Linked DNA regions of Xenopus tropicalis. The protein of the gene in region 1 interacts with the protein of each later gene in a pairwise test. Links are inferred from orthologs where the notes say so. Each region holds a gene or a part of one and is shown on either strand. Other genes may lie near its edges. The genes, in order: eif1ad, glyr1 and stat1.

Region 1 (7,723 bases):
GCCCTGCAAGGTTCATATCATATAAAACAACCCAGGGGACCCAAATTGTTAGGCACTCTCCCAGGGACATAAATAATAAACACATTTACCTTGGGCCAGTGGTGCTCCTTTTAAGATTAAGTTCCAGACTGGGGGAAAACTTACGGTGCCCCATGCCATCTTACAGTATTTGAACACCATCCATGTTATTTTCCTTGGCTTGTGCATTTTTTTATTTCACAAAAGGAGCACCCACCAGGGAAAAAATTTTGCAATGAGACATACAGGGTAGGGCCGAATTGCAGAATTGACTTGAGGGCGAAGACACATGCAGCAATTAGTAGCTGTGACTTTTTAAAAAGCTGCAGCGACTAATTTGTACAGCGCATTCAGCCACAGCGACTTTTATAATATCCTATCCTATAATATTGCGGCGGTTAATTGCCCCGTGTGTCTTCATCCTAAACATTCTTCTAGAACCTACAATTCACCTTGTTTTCAATGCTATTTTCTGTTGTAAGAAGATCTTGCACAATGAGGGAACCATGGAGAAGCACCCTGCACAGTACAGGAGTCTGTTTTTTTTTTTTTTTCGTTTGCTTATTGCTGTCAGTTGATCAGTGAGTGACACAGGATATAACAAGTGGTGGCCTGAGGCAAAGGACATAAGACAGAATCATGTATAAACAAGGATGTGCCAAATTCAGGATTTGGCCAAATAGCAGCACTTTTTGGAGAATATGAAGTATATTTATCATGCTGTGTAAAAAGTGGAGTGAAGCATAACCAATCAGCAATCAGATTTCAACAGTTAGAAAACCAAAGCAAATCATCTGATTGGCTGCTATGAGCAACATCACCGCTAATGTTTCACTCCACTTTACATAGGATGGTAAATGTAAATTTTTTTTTTTTGTCTACAGACTATGCAAATTTTCTACTTGAATTTTATATTTAAATTAGAATTTGGATTTGATATCCAGGCAGATATTTTTGGAGAATGCGGTATTTGAATAAATTCCCCAAAATATTGTATTCAGTGCATCTCTATGTTTAAGCTGATTTGAAAAGATTATTTGATAAATTCCTTATTAAGGTGTAAATTATATTTTGCTTAAGGGCCGTGACACACGGGGAGATTAGTCGCGCCGCAACAAATCTCCCTGCAATGCCATCCCACCTGCTAGAATGTAAATCGCTGGTGGGATGGCAATGCGGGGACATTAGTCGCACACGACAACAGAATTTTGTCTCGGCGCGACTAATCTCCCAGTGTGTCACGGCCCTTATGGCAAAGTAACCCACCAAAATGAAAGTGTTTTAACATAATTAAAATAAAATGTATTGATGCCTGGTTTGTTTATTTTTGTAACACTGCTACAGTTTATATAAATAAGCTGCAGTGTAACCATGGGAACAACCATTCAAGGAGAAAAGGCACAGGTTACATAACAGATAACAAATAGGCTCTGTAGAGCACAATGGTGTTTTACAGAGCTTATCTCTTATCTACTATGTAACCTGTGCCATTTATCCCTATTACAATCTGAGCAGCTATTGCAGGGCAATAGCACATTATTGTTAAATTACTTTAAACACTTTTTTGGTGTTACTGTTTCCTTAACCTTTTATTTTATAGTTTATCTTTGTCTGGTTTATTAACAAACAGTGTTACCACTATAGTTGGTATATTATTGCTTATGCAATGGTACCCCTAAATGCATAGTGCCTGTGCCTAATTTCCACTGGCAGTCCCTCGTTTGGTTTTTCTGCTCCTGGGAGTGTTAGGAGTTAAATCTGATTACACAGAGGAGTTTCATTGATCCCATGTAGTGATGGCACTTCTAGCAAGATACAGACACCCAGCGAGGAATTGCAATGCAAAACATTTGACGGTGTCGGCTCCTATAGCTGCAACGTGTGCAACACAAATACCAGTTCGCTTTCGGTTTTAGTTGTGGGGAAGGAGGAATGGGCGCACTGCCGAACCTGAGTTATTTTATTACAATTCTCCTATCACTAACACTCAGTATTAACAAGTCATTATTACCGTTCCCTACCCTAATAGAATGCAGCGCTGCTACGCCGCGTATTGATCTCACGGCAGGTACGTTTGCCACTTCTTTAGCACCTAGTTCATGCCAAGTAGCTAAGCACTCATTTTATCGTTTAACCAACTCTGCTATTCACTTTATTCAAAATATAGCCCCAACCGATAAAAAATGAAATTAAACCCAGTGTGAAACATTACTCACTCTTTTCACGTCTTCCCGCCAACTGACCCGAAAGCTCAAAATCTTCTCCCCCACACCCACCGGAAGTGCTTATGCAGGACACACCTTACAACAGAAAATGTGATTCTAGAACCCGCCGGAAGTATGTTACGCGGTACACCCCCTGTGCAGGATTCGGCCATATTTGTACACCCAAGTAAAAAAAAAAGGCAATTGCGACGGAAGAGCAGCATTCGCCATCTTGGGACTCCTGCTTCTGTGACCTGTTGAACCCGGAAGTGAAAGACCTATGGTCGCCTCACGTTGATTTGAGCGAGCTAGATCATTAGTGAAAACTGGTTTCATCAGAGGAACTTTAGCATAAACTAGTTTAGATATTTCTAAATTGTATTGTTTGTTCCAGCTATTGGAGTACTTTATATCTTTTCGCAGTTTTCTTTATATTAGTTAATTGGGTTATAAAAGCGCTCCGACCTGTGACGCTGTGGTAGTAGTGCAATTACACATGGCATAGATGCTGAAGAGTCTCAGTTTTACCAGGCTTACATACACAGGCATCTTTTTATGGCTTTGTATCACTGAGATAAAATAATCACAACAATGTCAAAAGCCACAAAGCGTAAACATGTGGTTAAGGAGGTTCTTGGTGATTATGTGCAGCCCACTGAGCACCAGCGTATAGTTAAGGTGAGTGAATCCTTTACTCAGTGGTAGTCAAATTGCATTGGGGCCACCGTCTTAAGGGAAACTATTGGGATTAGTTACATTTAATATAAGCTTCTTCTGACTAAAATTACAAACTTCCTAAATTCAACCATTTAAACATTCTATATGGTGTCTGAAATAATGAACTATCCCCTCTCTCAGCATCTGCCTTTCTTAATACAGGAGTCTGGTTCAGATTCTGATTGACACTTGGGTCTAATACATCATATGGGGGTGCTCCATTTGCCAAGAAGATGTATTAGAGATTACTATTCCTGAGAAACCCAGTGACAAATCCTGTCTCTCTACATGCAAGATTTGTGCGGAGTCAGTTATTTGAGTGAGCTCTAATACATCTGCTAGGCAAGGGACCCCCCCCCCCCAAAAAAAGATGTATTTGACCACAACTGTCAATCAAAATCTCCGGTATGAAGAAATAATGTAACTATGTAAAGAATAACAAAAAATTGTTGCGCCTGTTCAGTGGCAATTCTAGCTTTTGTGCTGTTCCCACCCCTTTTAACTGCAGAGCAGGGTAGGGGAGGGCTTCATTGCTAGTGCAGATGAAAGAGAAAGAAATTTCTGATTAATTAATTGGCTTTTTCGCTCTTAAAGTTACTAGAAGCTGCAGGGCTCTGTCTGGTATGGTTCAAGACCATTACTATTGGTTAACATATATACTGCTGGCAACGCTTGTATTCCTTGTAGAGGTGACTCTTTGCCTTAATGTTTGCATGCTGCTACATACAATATCCTTAAAGTGATACGGACACCAGAAATAAAACCTTTTTTACATCTTTCATAACATTATCCTTGCATGAGCTTTATAATTTTGCCATAAATGTATTTCCTGAGGCTTTTACATTTCCTATCTGATCCCCCATGTTTCTCTGTGAGGGGGCGGCCATATTTGTGCAGCAGGAGTCCGTTAGCATTAGAAGCTATAACTGACAGGATGAGAAGGGACAGTCAGGTTGGCAAAACAGTCGGGTTTAGGAACTTCAAGTAACAATTACTCACAAAAGCAGCCCTAACAGTGAAAAATGATCAACATGACCCATAGGTAACTTTTTATGTAGATTCATATTTTAAAAAGTAGTTTTTTCGTGTCAGTATCACTTTAAATTCACATAAAAATGTTGCAATTATCACGTGGTGGGCAAAGTAATTAAAAAAGGCACCGTCTCTCTTGAGGTTCTCCAGTATTATGTATGGCTAATTATGGGTCACTGCAGGAATCTTTGTAGAAATAATTGTTTTTAAAGGGATAGTTGTTCATCTTCTGAAATAATGTCGTCGGAATTTTGTTTTTATATATTATATGGCTGGCCTGGAATGTAACAGAATTTGTAACATGGAATTGCATGTCTTTTATTTTTCCAAATTTAATGTAAACTGCATTCTGCACAGCCATAGGCATATAGGTTTTCATTCACCCTGGTCATGATATACAATATCTTTTGCTGATAAGTGAAATTACTTTGCATTACCTGATATAGAGATGAGGATAATTCCGTACAATGGCTTAAACTACCGCTCAGGATTAAAATTCAAACTACTAACAAAAAGCAGATCACAACTCATGCCCACCCTAAATCTCTGAACTAATGTCCTTCTTCTTACTAAACTGTTTATACCACTGTTCATATGATCTATTCATTTACCTCATGTAACATACACACACTTTGCTAGAGCTTACCCCACTTCTATAGCCATCCCCTTCTTCCATCACAATTTCCATCTTGGATTTTTCCCACCCTGTCACTGCCTTTAATCTGCCTGTCAATTCCTAGACTGAACTCTCAAAATATTTTAGTCTGTGAGTGTACATTAAACAGGAAACACAGTTAAATGTTATTTTATAATCATAATAAAAGTATTGTCTTTTCCAGCAGGAATAGTCCAGTAAATTAGGTATCCTTGTGGCGTAATTTTCATTTTGTAACCAAATCCTTAATTTTTCCAGGTTTTAGGAAGCCCGGGTAACAATCTCCATGAGGTTGAAACATCTGAAGGGGAACGATTTCTGGCTAGCATGCCAACAAAATTCAGGAAGAACATTTGGATAAAAAGAGGTAAATGTGGAGGCAAATCTGCTTTTTTTCTGTTCTTATTCCTATGTAAAACATATCATAATAATACATAGGTAAGAAGAATGCCAGCACTCCTTACCAGCACACCACGGGTCTCTCAACCTCCCGAACTGCACTTCCAGGCATTCAGCAAACTCAATATATCAATTTTCCTGGCTAAAAAAATGTAAAGCATAACAGCAGGGTTGGCATCACTTTGGGTCTCTTCACTAAGATCACCGACATAAAGACGCACAGTTAAATCCAGGTCTGGATCAGCTGCAACAGTGCATGTTCTTAGTGGTGAAGATCGCAGTGAAGTGGACCCAAAGCGCCACAAGGATAACGTTTTTAATCTTTTTCTTTTCCTTCAGGTGATTTTCTTATTGTTGATCCAATAGCCGAAGGAGAAAAGGTCAAAGCAGAAATAGCTTTCATCCTGTACAAGGATCACCAAAGACTTCTACAAAAGGAGGGGCTCTGGTAAGACTCCTTATAATCTGTAGAAGGCCTAATTTGTAAATCATGATTATTTATACTATACAGTAATTGATAGGTTACTTGAGTGTGTTGTATGTATATAATGGAGAAGCACTCGCACTAAAAAAATATATTGTCTGCATGAAAACAACAGTCTCTATGGAAACCTAGAGAAACAAGTCACTATGGCAATCTATCAACAATACACTGTGTATTGTTGATAGGTTGCCAAAAAGACTATTGTCTGGTGCCATTTTTCACCCATATGGGGGAGGGGCTTAATTCACTGTTTGTTATATTCCCTTTAAGAAAGTTCACAGTCAGTGACCAAAACATCGGGTTTGTAAACTAAATTAAAAAAACAAACAAACAAACCCTATTTTTGTTTGCACAAGACATATATAATTTGGCCATAATTATCTACACTGTGTTGGACTGGTTTGTTTCTGGAGTCAGCTTGGTCAGTTTTTTCCTGAAATGCTGTAAATATATATGTAAAATGCTGTATGTACAGGGTACATAGTGGCTCATCTGGAGGTAATGCAGTGCTCAAGATTAATTTCTTAGTTGCAGTTGTGTATTGGCATGTCTGAGATGAATGCAATTCTCTTAGTTCATTCTGAGTGGTCTTACTGGGGGGTGTGTGTAGAGAGAGAGAACATGACAGACAGAATTTCCAAACGAAATTAATTTGAGGGTGGCGCTTGCGAAGGGAGTTTTCTTCACAAAATACTATCTCTTCCACCAACTGGAGTGTGGGCTCTATTAGCTGGTGGTAAGGGAAACAATGTTTGCATGACAAGTACCCTTTCAGACACATAAAGAGGAAATAAAAATGCAGTTGAGCGGCCCATTAGTAAAAGGAAACAGTAGAGCTGTGTTTCTGTGCTCAGATGCTAACTTAGCCATTATAAGAGGGACTGTTTATTTAAAGTGCAGGCTGCCAGGCCATTTCTATACACAGGACTGGCTCTTACAGTAAGACAGTCTGGAGTCCAACACAAGGCTTTTCTAGTAAAGGTTTTGCATAGCTGTAGTGTTTTTCTCATGTTATTTATTAAATTTGTTGTAGTCTCACTGTGCTATAATCAGACCTCAGTAATGAATACTCTCATTCACCGCCACCCTCCCTTTCCTGTTTTTGGTAGTTTATTTTTGTAGCTGATGGCAGGCTTGTCCCTAGTAGTGCCAGTGTTCTAAGCATACCCTTTTGCAAAGCCTTTGTATAATGTATTTTTATTGGGATAATTTCTTCCTCATTGGTAAAGTGGTGCTTTCATATGGGCAAAAACAAGCCAATGTGGATTCAAACTCCCCAGTAACCTTCATTAAATATGCAAAATTGTAGCCCCATAACTAGTTTTCAAGTGCCCACAGTTCTCAGCCATGTACCTAGAAGAGAGTGGGCTGTAGCAGTTTTTAGCTCGGTTACAAGACCACAGGCACCTTCAGGGTCTATGGACTTCCCAGTCAGGAATGTTTTGTTTTTTTTAATTAAGCAACTGCAAAGAAGTATATGATATGTACATACTGAAACATAATTTGTACATGGTGCTAATTTCTACAGTTGCCACGAGTACAATGCTATGTATAAACTGACACGGAGATATAACCGTGGAGTACACTGTGGTATCTTCTTCACATGACCCTCAGAGATAGTGGCTATACAGTATACATCCATTTAGCCCAAATTAAACAGCAGAAAAACTCATTTTAGGATAAGCCCACATAGTCAATTCATACCTCCCAAACTTACGTTTTTCAGTATAGCCTCTTCTCATATAAGTACATTTAAAGAATAATCTTTTGTTTTTTCTCCCCTGCATTTCTAGTGTATTGCAACCACCATTTTGGTGTACATGCATAATAGGGAGAGTAGATTATGCTGTTCTCGTCTGGGTGATAGTTTCTTCACCGATTAAACAACAGCACCCTGGGATCCAATGGAAGTTTGGTGTGTTTTGACCCAAACCAGTTGCACTCCCTGCTTCCAGAATGATTGAATTTAGGGGCATGTCCACTTTGTGTGTAGGAAATCTGCTGGGAATATTGGCATCTGGGGCGCTCCTGACTTAGATTAGGGCTCATTTTATATAATCTTTGTGGTGCATTAGCTGCATTACTCTATATTTCCTTACATTAATTAAATGTAATTCACACGCAAAATCATAATAAATGAGTGAATATTGGTGCTCATTGGAACTTCTGTATTAGAAATAATGGACATTCTAAATAGTGATTTAAATGTGAGCT
Region 2 (7,725 bases), on another chromosome or scaffold:
AGCTGCTGGGTAATAATTCCTATTTTTAAAAATGGTTTCCTTTTTCTCTATAATAAAACAGTACCTTGTACTTGATCCCAACTAAGATATAATTACCCCTTATTGGGGCAGAACAGCCCTATTGGGTTTATTTCATGGTTAAATGATTCCCTTTTCTCTGTAATAATAAAACAGTACCTGTACTTGATCCCAACTAAGATATAATTACCCCTTATTGGGGGCAGAACAGCCCTATTGGGTTTATTTCATGGTTAAACGATTCCCTTTTCTCTGTAATAATAAAACTCGCGAGTCTTTTTCGGCAATTTCCGGAAATCGCCCCGCCGCGTCTGCCATCCCGCCGGCGACTTACATGTTCGCCGGTGGGATGGCAGGGGTAGGCAACTCGGGGAGATTAGTCGCCCGCGAACAGGGAGTTAATCGCGGGCGACTAATCTCCCCCGTGTGCCAGAGCCCTAAATGATTCCCTTTTCTCTGTAATAATAAAACAGTACCTGTACTTGATCCCAACTAAGATATAATTACCCCTTATTGGGGCAGAACAGCCCTATTGGGTTTATTTAATGGTTAAATGATTCCCTTTTCTCTGTAATAATAAAACCGTACCTGTACTTGATCCCAATTAAGATGTAATTAAATATTATTGGAGCCAAAAAAATCCTATTGGGATTTAATTACAGTTTAAATAATTTTTTTAGCTTAAACTTAAGGTAGGAGATCCAAATTATCCGGAAAACCCCAGGTCCCGAGCATTCTGAATAACAGGTCCCATACCTGTACTTTTATGGCAAAATTATAAATAGCATGCAAAGACGATGTTATGATAGATGTAAAATTAGGTTTCATTTCTGGTGTCAGTATCTCTTTAAGACATATCATACACAGGAAAAAGCTAAGGGCCACTTATAACTCTCGCACTACACAAGGTTCCATATCAATGATATTGGGCTACTGACAACCAGAGAGCCCAACCTGACTGCTAACACATGGAACAGTCCACGCTGATAAATTATTAGTATTCCAACCAGGGCATTATCTGCATTAAGGTTGTACTGCCCAAGTGCTCCAACTGTCTGAAAGCTGCTACTTTCCCCAGCAACTGTGAGGGGGAAGACACACAGAGCTACTTAGTAGCAGATACTAAACGTCAGAAAATACCCTGCATAGACAATACTGAGAATTGCCTCTGCTAAAACACACAGAGACAATTATCAGAAAAAGATCAGCATTGTCTATTTTAGTAGCTGTGACAAGTAGCTGCTACTAGTAGCTCTGTGTGTCTTCCCCCTCACAGTTGCTGGGGAAAGAGTGTGCACTGGAACTGCTTCTTAAATGGAGACACATTATTTTTATGTGCCCTATCTAGTGGCCAGCATTCAAGATAAGGATATCTATGTCCTTAAAAAAAAAAAAAAAAAATAGTAGTAATAGAATATGCTGTTTGCATAAGTCTTCATATTAAGGGGGTGGTTCACCTTTACACTAACTTTTATAATGTTATAGATACAACTTTCAGTTGGTTTTTACTTTTTAGTCTTTTTTTCTTTTCTTATTTGGTTTCCATTTCTGACTCTTTCCAGATATCAAAAGGGAGTCATTGACCCCGGCAGCCAAAACCTATTGCTCTTTGAGGCTACAATTTTGTTGTTTTTGTTACTTTTTATTTCTTATCTTTGTAGTCAGTCAAGTAATTTGAACCATATAGTTGCTAAAATTCCTAACTGGGGCATAGAACTGATTACAGCACGCTAAAAAAGTTAACTTTTAGGTGAACAACTCAAAGCAAAGCTCAAAATCTGCAGCATTGGACATTGCTCATGATTTAGAAAATCTGCATGACCGACTGGCAGAAACCAGTGTTGTTCAGGATAGTCGGATGATGCACCTCAATTCTCAACTGAACCCAAATTAGAGCTTTGGATTATACTCCAGCTGAAAGATACACCTCTGCCCAATCTATAGCAATATTTCCCTGCCCTTTTCACTATCCATTCTTTCTTCTGTTTACAAGGATGCTGTTCTACCTTCACAGACTTCAGATACTTCCCTGTATGCGAGTGGGGCACAAAAGAAGCCCTTACTAAAAAAGGACAAGAAGAAAGAACATCGGGACTCTGCCATGCAGAATGACCTTGTTGCCATGTAGGACACGAATGTCTGTTCAGATGAGACCAAGACAGGAATTTTTGGCTAAAGATCAATTTCACATGGTGCAAATAAAATACTGCCGACATTGAGGAACGGTGTTGGAAACATCATGTTTTCATCAAACTGAAGAATAAATGGTGCAAAATACAGAGGGAAAAACTCTTCTGGCTAAAAAAGCAGAAGTTTGGCCGTATAGTCATTATTTAGCAGAACAATGATCCCAATCATTAACACTGAAGCGACTCAAGAGAGAAATGTCCTGCACTGGCCCAGATCTCAGTTCAGAATCAACGGCAGAATTTGCTAATTGAGGAAAAGCATCATCCAACAAACCTGACGTTCCTGGAGAAAAATCTGTTTGGAAGAATGGACCAAAATCCCCCCTGCAAAGTTGGTATGGACTCAGCCTATAGGTGGCCATACACGCTAAGATCCGCTCACTTGGCGAGGTCTCGGAGCGAGCGGATCTTCTCCCGATATCGGGCTAATTTGGTCAATACGATCAAATTAGAATGACAGGAGTAGACGCAGTTGGTTCGGGGACCGCATCAATGAGCCAATGCAGTCCCGGATCCGACTAAATTTTTAAACCTGCCCGATCGATAGCTGGCTGATTTCAGGCCAGATATCAGCCGGGCAGGCCCATCGTTTGTGCCCATACACAGGCCAATAAGCTGCCGAATCAGCCCGTGTATGGCCACCATAAGAGTTTAGGGCCGATACTGCTGCAAAATGGAGCTCTAGGCAATATAAAAATGTGGGGGGGTTAACAATTATACAATATATATCTGACATAATACCTTAAAGGAACAGTAACACCAAAAAATGAAAGTGTATAAAACTAACTAAAATATAATGTGCTGCTGCCCTGCACTGGTAAAAGTTGTGTGTTTACTTCAGAAAGTCTACTATAATTTATATAAATAAGCTGCTATGTAGCCATGGAGGCAGCCATTCATAGGAAAAAAGGCTCAGGCACTTAGCAGATAACAGATAAAACACTATTGTATTCTACAGAGCTTATCTGTTATCTGCTATGTAACCTGTGCCTTTTCTCCTTTTTTCCAACTTGAATGGCTGCCCCCATGGCTACACAGCAGCTTATTATATAAATTATAGTAGGGTTACTGTAGCAAACACACCAATTTTACCAGTGCAGGAATGGCTGCCCCCGGGGCTACACAGCAGCTTATTATATAAATTATAGTAGGGTTACTGTAGCAAACACACCAGCTGTACCAGTGCATTATATTTGTATTACTCTTTTAGCTCTTTTTTTGGTGTTACTGTTCCTTTAAACTAATTTTGAGTTTCGGTGCTTGGCAATAATAAGAACAGTGTTGGACTAGTTATTCAGTAAAATGAGAGAATTGGATTCAGGAGAAAGAAAGGTTCCAGTGGCAAAGACCCAAGGGGGCCGTACTGCTAGTGCAGAAAGTACTATTGTGCTCTGTGCACCAGAAGAGCTTATTATCATTTTACTAACTGGCTTTGTGCCCCCTGGTAACTTGCAGGGAGCCGCTGCCCAAGGAAGGGTTCTCACCCTGTTACTGCCAGGACGGAGCAGGGGATGCTGGGACACCGGAACAAAATGGACCCTAGGGTCGCAAGTAAACTGAAGCAATCAGAGGGGTGCCAACAGCACCAGTGATTCAGCCTTCCCTTGTCCTTCAACAGTCTGTAAACACAGGATACAAATAATAAAACTAAATAGATCATACATCCATTTCCCAGAATATTTTAGGCAAAAAAAAAAGACAACAAAGATTTAAATAATAAGTAGAAAAAAATTGCTAAAAATTGCTCAGTGCAAATACAGGAACACCATAATACATGGAATAATGCATTAGAAGAATATATAGTTTTAAAACTATTGCAATGATCTGACCGATAGCTGTAGGTTTACGGGGCAATAATATAAATTAACCTTTTTCCCTGCACACCAGCAAAGGGCTACCCTGTGAGGTCACTCATTTAAAGTGGTTGCTATAGTATATGGACCTTAGCAACCAAAAAGCAACACAACTCCAATTCCAAACTGCAGGCGAAAAATGACCATTAAAAAAAAAACACACAAAAAAAGAATAGAAGACCCCTTACGAACGTATTTAAACAATCACATGAGTGTAAAAGTTAAATTTAAGGCTATTATCCCTTTACTGTCATCTCCATGTCAGTAAGAGGAAATCTTCACTACCAACAGAACTACAACTCCCAGAATGCTGAGTAGTAGGGAAAGTTGTGTGTGTATCTGCCATTAAGCAGCCATTGTGTGTGTCTCTCAGCAGCTTGGCAGCACAATCGCCCTCCCTCATACTTAATTTCTCGGTTCTTTGTTGATGAAGCAGCTGAAGTCCCAGCCCCAAGGAGCAGGGAGTGAGGCGACACAGGCAGCCCTTTCAACTCAGGCACTGCCTGTCCTTCCCCATTTGTATACAGAGCTGCGCACTCAAGGCCTGCGCGGCCTGCCCTGCCCTACAACCATTCCCACAGCAACACTCACCACACCAAATCTCCTTGTCGCAGGCTCACTGCCGCCATCTTACCGACACAGCCAGCAGCGGGGAAGGGGTAGGAAAAAAAATTAGCTGCGCGGAGGATGCTGGGAACAGGAAACGCTCCCTCCCACCCAAACGCCGTGCGCGGCTCCCCAAGCTGCGACGAATACCCACCCTGTTCCTCCCACCGCGGCGAGCCAATGAGCAGCGTAAAAAAAAATATCGATGAAGCCCAACCAATGATTGGACAGACGTCAGTGTTAGCCACGCCCAGCGTGTCTGCGGAAGCGCGCCCGTACACCAAAACCGTCTCCTATTCGCTATTGAAGTCACGTGAGGCGCTTCGCTCTCTGTCAATGCTTGTTGTTGTTGTCGACGGCGCCGCCGTGGGAGGTCATGTGACTAAGGAGGCGCTAGCTCGCTGGCTTCTACAGACCACGTGACGCCGCCGCCGCTGCTGCCGGTGACGTTGCTTTCCACGGCTGTCAACCCTTCTCCAAGTACGGGGTCTCCGGACTGGGGAGCGCCGCGGTGAGTGGGTGGGGACTGTTGGGTACGGAAGTTGAGTTCCTCTTTATAAACACGTCAGTTTATGGTGTTGTTTAGAAGCACTTCCGGGTACTTTCTCTTCAGCCGCAATGGAATCTTCCCGCCCCCTCTGTGTGCAGTGGCGCGACCCGTGGCTATAAAACCAGGTGTTCGCTTGTCAGATGTGTCACTTACGCCTTATACGCGGTTGTGCCAATTGTGTTTTGCTTTGTTTTTGGCGGGCAAACTGCGTAGTGTCAAATTCCAGCACAGCCCCATGCATTTCTAGTATTGTTTTCACGCAATAAAGCACATTACCAGACTATAGTCAAGTGAACCGAATTAAATAGACTTAAGTCTTGTTATTTTGAGAGGGTTTTTTTTACCTCCACACGTTTTGCTTTTCATACTGTAGGTTGGCACTGAGACTTTAATGCGCCAGTACCACAAAGAAGTCCCATAACCTTCGCCCACATGCTGATTTTTTATTTAATATATACTCCCAATATGTTGGTGAGGCTCAAGGCCTTTATTTTCGTATTAAACACAAAGGGGGCTTTCTACAGGTTTGACCTTGGAGGGGGGGGGGGGGATAAATACTGGTCTTCCTGGCATTGTTATTTGTCTTTTTTTCTTTTAAAGGGTAAGTTATGCCTACAACGCACGCCACAGTATATTTTTAAGTGAGGTTCTAACCAGTGATCATCAAACTGTCAGAGCCCTCAAATGTCTTCATCTAGCGGCATTTGGGAATATTAACCTTTTCCATGCCGCAAAACATCCAAGTTGCTGCCTATCAAGTGCTGGCACCATTGATTCCCTTTTATCCTATGGAGCAGTATCATTTGCACCTGCTGTGTAAAAAAACAGTAAACAATTCTTTTCTTGTGCATCATTTGAAATCCTGGCAGGGGAGGAGGGACTAAAACACTGATGTTACAAATTATAACAACTTCTCCACCGCTTAAGCTGGCCATACACGTGGCGATGGTCGCACGAAACATTGTCAGATCCGCCACACACCGTCAGGGCTGAAACAGCAGATAAGGAGGTAGAAACAATAGGATTTCTACCTCCTTCTGCCGATTCAGCCCTGACGGCAGATTTTGGTCAGGCGCTTTCTATGGCGCCCGAACAAAATTTTCTAACCTGGCCGATCGGCGAGTCGTCCGATATCAGCAGCTTCCCGCGATATCGGTCGACTCACCGACATGCCATACACGCACCGAATATCGTACGAAACGAGGTTTCGTACGATAGTATCGGTGCGTGTATGGCCAGCTTTACAAACAGCATGTAGGAACTATATAACCTACAATGCATTGTATTGTGTTCCTTTCCGCATTGATATCACATGTGCAGGGAATTGTGGGATTGGGAGGATGCAGGCTGAGGACAGGCGACTAATGTTTATTTGTTTATTTATTTGAGTCTCAAAGTAGTCGGATCAGCAGGGGAACAGAGGGCGGGGTTTATGGGATCCAAACCAGTGCTGGATATTGCAAAGTTGCTTGAAATTATGTTTACTTTTCAAAAAGCTTAAGGGTTGCCATACACGGTAAGATCCGATTGCCTGGTAAGGTCGCCAAGCGAGCGGATCTTCTCCCGAGGTGGGGGATATCGGGTGAATTCATGCTAATTCGGTTGTTTGGCCCCAGGGCCAATTTAATGAGAACACCAGTAATAGACGCAGTCGGTTCTGGGACCGAATCAACGAGCTGATGCGGTCCCCGATCCGACTAAATTTTTTAACCTGCCTGATCGATATCTGCCCGATTTCGGGCCAGATGTGGGTCGGGCAGACCCGTCGTTTGTGCCTCTATACGGGCCAATAAGCTGCCGAATCGGTCCAAGGGACTGATATCGGCAGCTACAATCAGCCTGTGTATGGCCGCCTTTAGTTGTGTTTGGGTGGACTTCCCCTTTAAAACCACGTGTGCACATTAAAATAAAACTGGTGGGCGTATATCAGAATAAGTACAAAATGATTTGCCTGCATGCACATCAGTGCGCAGTACCAGATACCCCTAACAACCAATCAGTGTGCTTAAATTATAAAGTGAATTCAAATATCTGATTGGCTGCTTTTGGTCACTTCTCTGGAGGCAATTCAGCACCACTGCCTTTGTTTCATTGGTTTGTGGTTGTGGCACAACTTTTCCATTTATTAAGTGTCATTATTGAACAGTGGATGGGACTTTGGGGCACAGCACATGAGCAAATACCCTTTGGGGTTCCTCCTCTTCTTATTGGCGTTTCAGCCTTACTATCAAGTCAGGTCGAGACCGTACTGGAACCTCAACAACCTTGTTGCTTAAGTGTTCAGCAGCAAACCAATCCCTGTGCACCCTGGCATGGTATCATTAATGATCTTCTGGTGCCTGGCTTGACTGATTTCTATATCTTACCAGTGTAAGATATATGTATCAGTGTATGTTACCTCTCCCTCCAATCATGTTTGCTGTTGGGGAGTCATGTAGGGCCACCATGGTGACTAACTAAAAAAATGGCCGTACACAGACATACAGTTTCTACAGTACCAATGGTATCA
Region 3 (7,674 bases), on another chromosome or scaffold:
GGGTGTCTAAGAAGCAGATGACATTCATTGTTGACAAATGTAAGGTCATGCACCTGGGAAGTAAGAATATGCAAACCATTTATACCCATGAAGGATTAGTAAACTTTAAAATATGTAAAATTGATAAGTGCTATTCTAAGCACTTTTGCAATTTACATTATTTTTATTTTTTTTTGAAGAATGAACAATATTAAGGGCAACGTTTACTGTTAATTTAATTTTTTACATATATCTTTGCAGAGGGGAAGAAGCACACCAGTGTGTCAGCAATGCCTTTAAATCATGTAACCAATTAAGCAGGAGCAATCTCCCCTGATACCCCACTATGGGAGAATAGTAACCTACCGCATCTTTCCTGGAAGCAGGATCCTGGGCCGGAGTAGAGATAAAGCGCTTTGACCACCTTTACTCTAATGGTGAACTGCACACACTCCCTCTGCTTCAACAAATTGCCTCCCGACCTGGCCTGTCAGACCTCAGATATGTACAGATTACGCGCGTCTGTGGAATACAGTTCCAACAACCGCCACAGACACAGTACTTAGACCTAGAACACTTGATAATACAACCAAGCAAAACTAAACTACTCTCAAACACCTACAAGCTCTTAATCACTAAGAGATATGACCCACGGCCTAGGGCAAAGCTTAAGTGGGAGACCTCTGGGATACATCTAAATCCCGATGACTGGGAAGAAATCACGGACAATTTATACCAGCCCCTAATAAGCAAAAGAGACAGACTTATACAATTTAAAATTATACATCAGACTTACCTCACCCCACAAAAGCTACACAATATGGGGAAAACTGACTCCTCTAACTGCCAAAGATGCAAAGCATATGGTCAACTTCATGCACCTAATATGGGACTGCCCTGAAATACAAAAATTCTGGGGCAAGGTCACAGAATTTATGGGAACAGAACTGGAACTCAACCAGTACTCAACCCGGCTACCTGTATACTGGGCCTCCTGGACACTCCGATACCTAGAAGGAATACAAAGCTACTACTACTATGAGACTACTACTTTTTTATGCCAAAAGAACCATCGCTCTGAGCTGGATGGGCCGGACACCCCCATCGCTCCGCAATTAAAACTGTATAAACTTACCTACCTCGTTAGAGGTTGTCCGGCGAAATTTGAGAACATTTGGTCTCCTTGGACAGACTCACCAGCCACAACAGTACAATGACTGTTTACTCTCCAATCTCTTCCTTTCCTTTCTTCCCTCTCCTTTTCTACCCTATTCTATTGTTGTTAAAAAAACAATAAAAATCAACCTTTAAAAAAAAAAAAAAAAGAAAGAAGAGAGGGCTGATCTGATGTTCTTCCTGTTAGGAAAAACATGGCAGCAGCCTGCATGAAACTTATAGTTTTGCACAATTTAGTATCATAATAAAATATATAATACGTAGTATAGTAGTAATACACACCTCCAGGTTATTATTAAACAAGTTAAAAAGCAAAGACCAAAGACAGACCCCTGCGGTACTCCACTAACAACACTGGTCCAATTGGAAAATGTTCAATTTAACAGCACTCTCTGCAATCTATCCTTCAGTCAGTTCTCTATCCAATTACAGGTATGGAATCCCTTATCCGGAAACCAGTTATCCAGAAAGCTCCGAATTACAGAAAGCCCGTCTCCCATACCCTCCATTTTAATTACCTAATTTTACCTAAGAAAACTGGAAAAACTTATTGACTCGAGTATAAGCCTAGGTAGGCCCTGGACACCCTGGACACTCATTGGTGAACCAACCCTAGTAACTCTGGGGTAGGCACCCTGGATATTTACCGCTAAAAAGTCAACAATACATTCCACCATCTTGTTCTGCCCCCTAGAAGCCTGCGCCATGGCGTATAATATAAAGGTTCCGTTTCCAGCTTCAAGAACTCCATTAGCAAAGGGAAAAGTCGTGTCTCTTCCTTATATTTTATTGTCAGTAGCCACCGGCAAACAAGCTAGTATAGGCCACCAGTAGCAGGTAGGTAGGCAGGCCTGGACTGGGATTCGAAATAGGCCCTGGCATTTCAAGTACACAGGGGCCCAAAAAGCCCCCCAGCCCAATAAATAGTGACTGTCTGTGGCATCTTACATCAGCCCCTCTGGCATTTGCCAGAACCCAGAGATTGCCAGTCCAGGCCTGTAAGTATACAATACCTGCCTAGGGACCCACTGACTGAGCTTTCCATATCTGCACAAGGTTGTTTCCCATAATTCCCATGCACTCCCATAGTGCAATGCGTACCGGCCAAGGCCCAACCAGAACATTCAGAACACTCTCTGTAGGGCACAACAGTGATCCGAGGGGGTCAGCTGACATCCAGATAAATAAACGGCTCATGTACAGAATCTGTATATAGTGATGCACTCATTGTAATATTATTGTACAAAGAACTACAATTCCCAACATGCTCCAAATGACCACAATGGTGATTTATCCTTTTGACTTTACTTAGCTAGCAGCCATAGAGCAGGTGGTAGTGATATAGGGTAATGTATAATTTAATAAATCTGGGATTTGTAGTTCCCAGATTGCCTTCTTATCTGTGCCCCCTTCCTTTGTTTCTCTCCTTATCACCCAACACCCTTTCTGCGTACGCATTTGTACATGCCCAAAATATTGTTGTGTGCACATGCATGCGTGCGTTGGTTCGTGCACGCACGCCCGTCCAGCCCTCTGTCCAGCCGCGGGGAGGGAAGAGGGGTGCCCCGTAAAACAAACTTGTTCAGCCTCGAATCCTTATACTCGAGTATAAGCCGAGGGTTCGTTTTTCAGCACATACAGGTCCATGTTAATCTAGGAAAGTCCTGCCCAGTTTACCAAATTAGGAAAACCGGGCAGAGAGTTTTGGCCCAGACAGCCCTTCTGGAAACCGTGTTCTCTGGGGAAACCCGACTATTCAATGTATTTTTACAGTGCAACTGCTTCACATACACCAATAACAGTTTATACAACAAGCTAAGAACAGATGCATAAATTACAATAGGTTTGGTTCTTACACGTGTCAAATGAAATCATAAAATAGGGCAATCATTGCCAGTAAATAGAATATTCGTAGGTAATAAATGAACAGCTATAAACTTTAAATTGTAAAATAATATATATTCTTAATTTATGAGGAGCAGTATCTCTAATACAGGGAGTGGAACGGTCTATTTGCACTAGAAGAGCTGAATTTAAAAATTAATTGTTAGGGGCCTTCTTTTGCCACCCCTGGTAAACTGTTGCACACTCCCGTCTTATGGCAGGAATGGTCATGCTGGCATCATTTTTGATAGCGATATTTTATTCTGTAAGTGAACATGACATGATTTAGTTATTAATTGGATATGACAACTGAAGGAGAGGGTAAAATCAAAGACAACCCTAAGGCAATAGGCCATTAGAGCGCTTGTTATTTCTAGGGTGTTCTAAAGTTTGCACTGGGAAAAAGGGTTATTCTGTCTTATATTCAAATAGAAATGTCTGTCAAAAAACTCAGAGATCAGAGTTGAGACTGAAAAATACAGGATAAATTTGTCACCCAGTGGTATTGGAATACATTCAAGTTAATTAAACCCACAGACATGTTGTGTAGATTTTTTTTTTTAGATGAATTGTGCAAATAAAATTTGCTTGGCTAAGTAGTGGCAAATATTAAACAATAGCAGTGCAGATTTGCAGCTCAACTTAACAGTACATGACAGCCTTTAGAGTGCTCACAAACCAATGTAAATTAAAATAGGGGTTTCCAAAAAACAAAAGTCACTGTGGTAAGTGATACACCAGCTGTACACAAGGATTCACAAATGGGCAGGATTACTCAGCATAAAGCAGATTAAACATGGGCTGTGCACACTGGAGTTTATAACCAAGTAGACCAAATACAGAATGATCCAGTCGGCTTATTAATCAAAACTGGGCAAATGTTAGCAGAGGCAGAATGATGCACACAATTACGAAAATTATATAATATATGCTGCAGTATAGTGATGAGTATATAATAGACCAAAAGAGCAATGGGGTTGCCCAGACAGGCACAGTTATAAAAACAGAATCATTAGCAGAAGCGTTTATACCGATGATGTCCTAAAATGGGCGCCGTACAGTGGAGTAAAATGTCTCTCTTTCAACGTACCTGACGCCGTCCTGTATAATAAGCTCAAGAAAGCAAAATAAAACGTCTTGAAATTTACTTTGATTCCGGATACCTCTAGAATCACCAACTCACACACACAAAACCGAAAGAAGAAATGAGGGTACAGCCCTTACTTCCTAGACTGCAAGCTATCCCCGCCTCTAAATCTTGACTTCAGCAAATCATAAAATTGTTTGCTGGCTGTTACTTTAAGTTGGATTGCCTCCCTCTGCTTTGATGCGGACACTTCTTAAAGGGCACCGAAACGATTAATTTGTGCACATTTAATCTTGCTGTAGCAAACAGGCTACTTTTTACAGTTTACTTTTTCAGAACTTTTCTTCTTATATGTATTATATGTAACACTATTTTGTCTTAGATTAGGCCAACCCAGGCTTGTAGTGTAATATAGAGCATGTGTTACATGTGACCCTTAATTCTTCGGCATGGGCCTCTGCTATGTGGGAGATGTAAGATAGGAGCTGAGGGTGTAGTTGAACTACAACTTTCTGATGCTGTGTAGTGTAGATGGTATAAATGGACGCAGAAAGGTTCTTGCTGGTGAACTATAATACAGATTTATTGGTCAAAGACACAGATGTTATGCAGGGTTATCATACTCACAGACATGCAGATTGAAATGGTACAATGAGGGATTTCTCTTTTGTAGAAGAGAGAGTGTACACCGGTTTACCCCACCTCTTGGTAGAGTCTGGGCCGGGATATACACCTTTCAACCAGTACCCCTTGAGAGATAGTGCAAGTAGTAGGAACTCCTTCAGGTTGATAACCTCTAGTGGATTGAGTCCTCCTAGAGCCCTGCACTGAGACAACATTGCCGGATAGGAGAAATACTCCTGGATCTAATCATTCCTTTGGTAGGCTAATGGCCCTTTCTAGCTAGAGCTGACTATGCTCACTTCTACTAGAGAGTGCTATTAAATAAATCTGCTGTGCTTACTTATCCTCATTCACAGGGCCCTGTCCCTGACTTATACAATTAGTAAGGTGTTCTTTGGACTAAGGTGGCTTACTGGGGCCTGTTGCAGCACCCAGGCTCAGAAGGAGCTGTGCTTAGGTAGCAGACAGGCAGCCAAAGAGGAAGCCACTCCTCCCTGCTAGACGCTATTTCAGTCTGCAGGGGGAGTGGTCAACCTGACTAAATCTATAGGGAATAGTGTTAGAACAGTAACTTAAGTACAGGGGCTCTGCCCAATAACAATAGAGGTGTGAAGAGGTAGAGGATAAAGCCATAGGGAGCTTAACCCTATGGGTCCCTACATATATATATGTATATGATATTTATACATTTACTTATTTTGATCTACTCAATAAATGTACATCATAAAAAGAGCTGTATTTACCATATAGGTATCAATATATGCCCCAAAATAAAAAATATTGCAGTCATTATAACTACTGCAAAATCAAGACATTTACTGACTTTTATGTGTGGTGAAAAAATATTCTCACATAAAAGTCTCAAAAGACATTCTCACTAGGTGCAAAAATCATTCTCCCAAATCTAAAATGAATTCTATATCTTTTTACTCCAAACATTAAAGCTTTGATAACATTTTTAAAAACCACCTTCCATTTTGCAGTAACTTATCAGTCACATATCCTTATGCTGCTGGCACACGGGAAGATTAGATAAATCTTTACTACCACGGGCGATGGCACATGCATTACCTCATGAGGAAACTATGGGCGACTTTGGAAAACCGAAGCTATGTGTATGCCATGCCACCAGCAATTCACATTCTTGCTGACAGGAAGACACTTTGGGGGAGATTAGGCACCTGCGGTAGCGAAGATTTATTGCATGCATCTAATCTCCCCGTTTGCCACCAGCCTTGTATACTAGGGGGCACATTTACTAATACACAAACGGGCCGAAAGCGTCCGAATGCGATTTTTCGTAATGATCTGATCTTTGATTTTTTTCAACGTCGTTGTGACTTTTTTCGCGAATTATCGCAACATTTTCGTCACCGTCACGATTTTTTCGTGAATTGTCGCAACTTTTTTGTCGCCGTCGCGCCGCTCAATATGAAAAAGTCGTGACAATTCGCGAAAGTCGTAATGGCTACAAAAAAGTCGCGACAATTCACAAAAAAAGTTGCGACGGCGACGAAAAAAATCGCAAAAAGTACGAAAAAGTGGCAAAATGTTCGTTTCCAATCCATTTTTTTCCCATTCGGATTCGTGCATTAGTAAATCTGCCCCTAAGATTAGACATATTAATATGAATACCAGGGGTCTTTTATGTGTCATATATGCCCCCTAGTATGCAGACCCCTGTAAACCATATTTCTCCTACAGTTCCTTATGTACAAAGATCATAAATATGAGTTTGTTGCCCAATATGCATATATTTACCTAAGTATGTGGTATGTACAGACCCCATAATATATGGCTGACTGTGGCTTCTGCAAAATATTCACCCTGTTTGTTAATTATGTATCATTAGTAGAGATGATTCATGTATGTTGAATGTATATACCCATTTATTGTACAGCACAACGGAATATGTTGGCACTTATAATGTTTGAGGGGCTTTATATATGTTATAATAATAATGTTTTTGGGGGGGGGTGGGCATTAGCAGTAATATATAGGTGCTTGCAGATGACACAAAACTGTGCAGGTCAATAAATTCCATACAGGATGTTGCATCTTTGCAAGAGGATCTGAACAAACTGGCACTGACAGCTAAGTGACAGATGAGATTAATGTAAGGTTATGCAACAGGGATGTAAGAATATGCAAGCCACTTATACCCTTTATGAAAATACGTTAGGCAAATCTTTGATAAAGAGTACTCCAAGATGCACTTGTGGACAATAAACATGGCTGTAGCATGCAATCCCACTCAGCAGCTGCAAAGGTCAATAAGGATAGAATTAGAAAGAGTCCAACAAAAGCAACAAAGCTGATTGAGGGGATGGAAAGTCTCTGGCCAAATTGGGGAATGTTTAGGTCTGGGGCCTCCCTGGACCTAAATGTGCCCCCACCCCAGAGTGGGAAAGTTATGTCATACAGAATGTGCACAGGCCCGGATTTGTGTCGAAGCCACAAAGGCCCGGGCGTAGGGCGGCATAAATTTTGCCGCAACAAAATTTCGACATTTTGCTCCCATACGGAGCAATGGGGACTTCTCCCCACTGCTCCGTATGGGAGTTTAAATGCCCGCGCATGCGTGCTTGTGTCGGTGCGGCTGGGGTAGAGAGAGAGATGTTTGTTCGCGCATGCGCTGGGGTGGAGGGCGCAAATGAGGGGCGGCCTAGGGGCTCCCGGATTCGAAATGCAGCACTGAATGTGCACATATAACTCCCAACAGTGTGTACAAGTAGCAGTAGTTATATCACGCATACATCCTTCCCCCCTCACCCTTGCAGAAACTTTCTGGCTAAGGAAGGGTGGGGAAAATTATAGATAGATAATATGGGCACCCGAAGGCCTGTGCCTAGGACGGCAGCATTTGGGGGTTGGTGCCTATATATAAATATAGACCAGTTTACACTGGAGAAGTGGCACTTAAA

The links.
Region 2: the proteins of eif1ad (region 1) and glyr1 interact in binary tests that used the Homo sapiens proteins (3 or more experiments, as listed by UniProt). The two-hybrid records come from large-scale screens. The link is inferred for Xenopus tropicalis from reciprocal best matches to the Homo sapiens genes EIF1AD and GLYR1.
Region 3: the proteins of eif1ad (region 1) and stat1 interact in binary tests that used the Homo sapiens proteins (3 or more experiments, as listed by UniProt). The two-hybrid records come from large-scale screens. The link is inferred for Xenopus tropicalis from reciprocal best matches to the Homo sapiens genes EIF1AD and STAT1.

Annotation. Positions count from the first base shown.
Region 1 is NC_030680.2:38,880,521-38,888,243, reverse strand, and holds the start of eif1ad (probable RNA-binding protein EIF1AD), read left to right. Parts: upstream 1-2,609; 5' UTR 2,610-2,813; coding exon 2,814-2,900; intron 2,901-4,884; coding exon 4,885-4,993; intron 4,994-5,364; coding exon 5,365-5,473; intron 5,474-7,723.
Region 2 is NC_030685.2:14,406,563-14,414,287, forward strand, and holds the start of glyr1 (putative oxidoreductase GLYR1), read right to left. Parts: upstream 4,732-7,725; 5' UTR 4,690-4,731; coding exon 4,652-4,689; intron 1-4,651. UniProt on the Homo sapiens protein: Cytokine-like nuclear factor with chromatin gene reader activity involved in chromatin modification and regulation of gene expression. Acts as a nucleosome-destabilizing factor that is recruited to genes during transcriptional activation.
Region 3 is NC_030685.2:43,530,533-43,538,206, forward strand, and holds the start of stat1 (signal transducer and activator of transcription 1-alpha/beta), read right to left. Parts: upstream 4,274-7,674; 5' UTR 4,130-4,273; intron 1-4,129. UniProt on the Homo sapiens protein: Signal transducer and transcription activator that mediates cellular responses to interferons (IFNs), cytokine KITLG/SCF and other cytokines and other growth factors.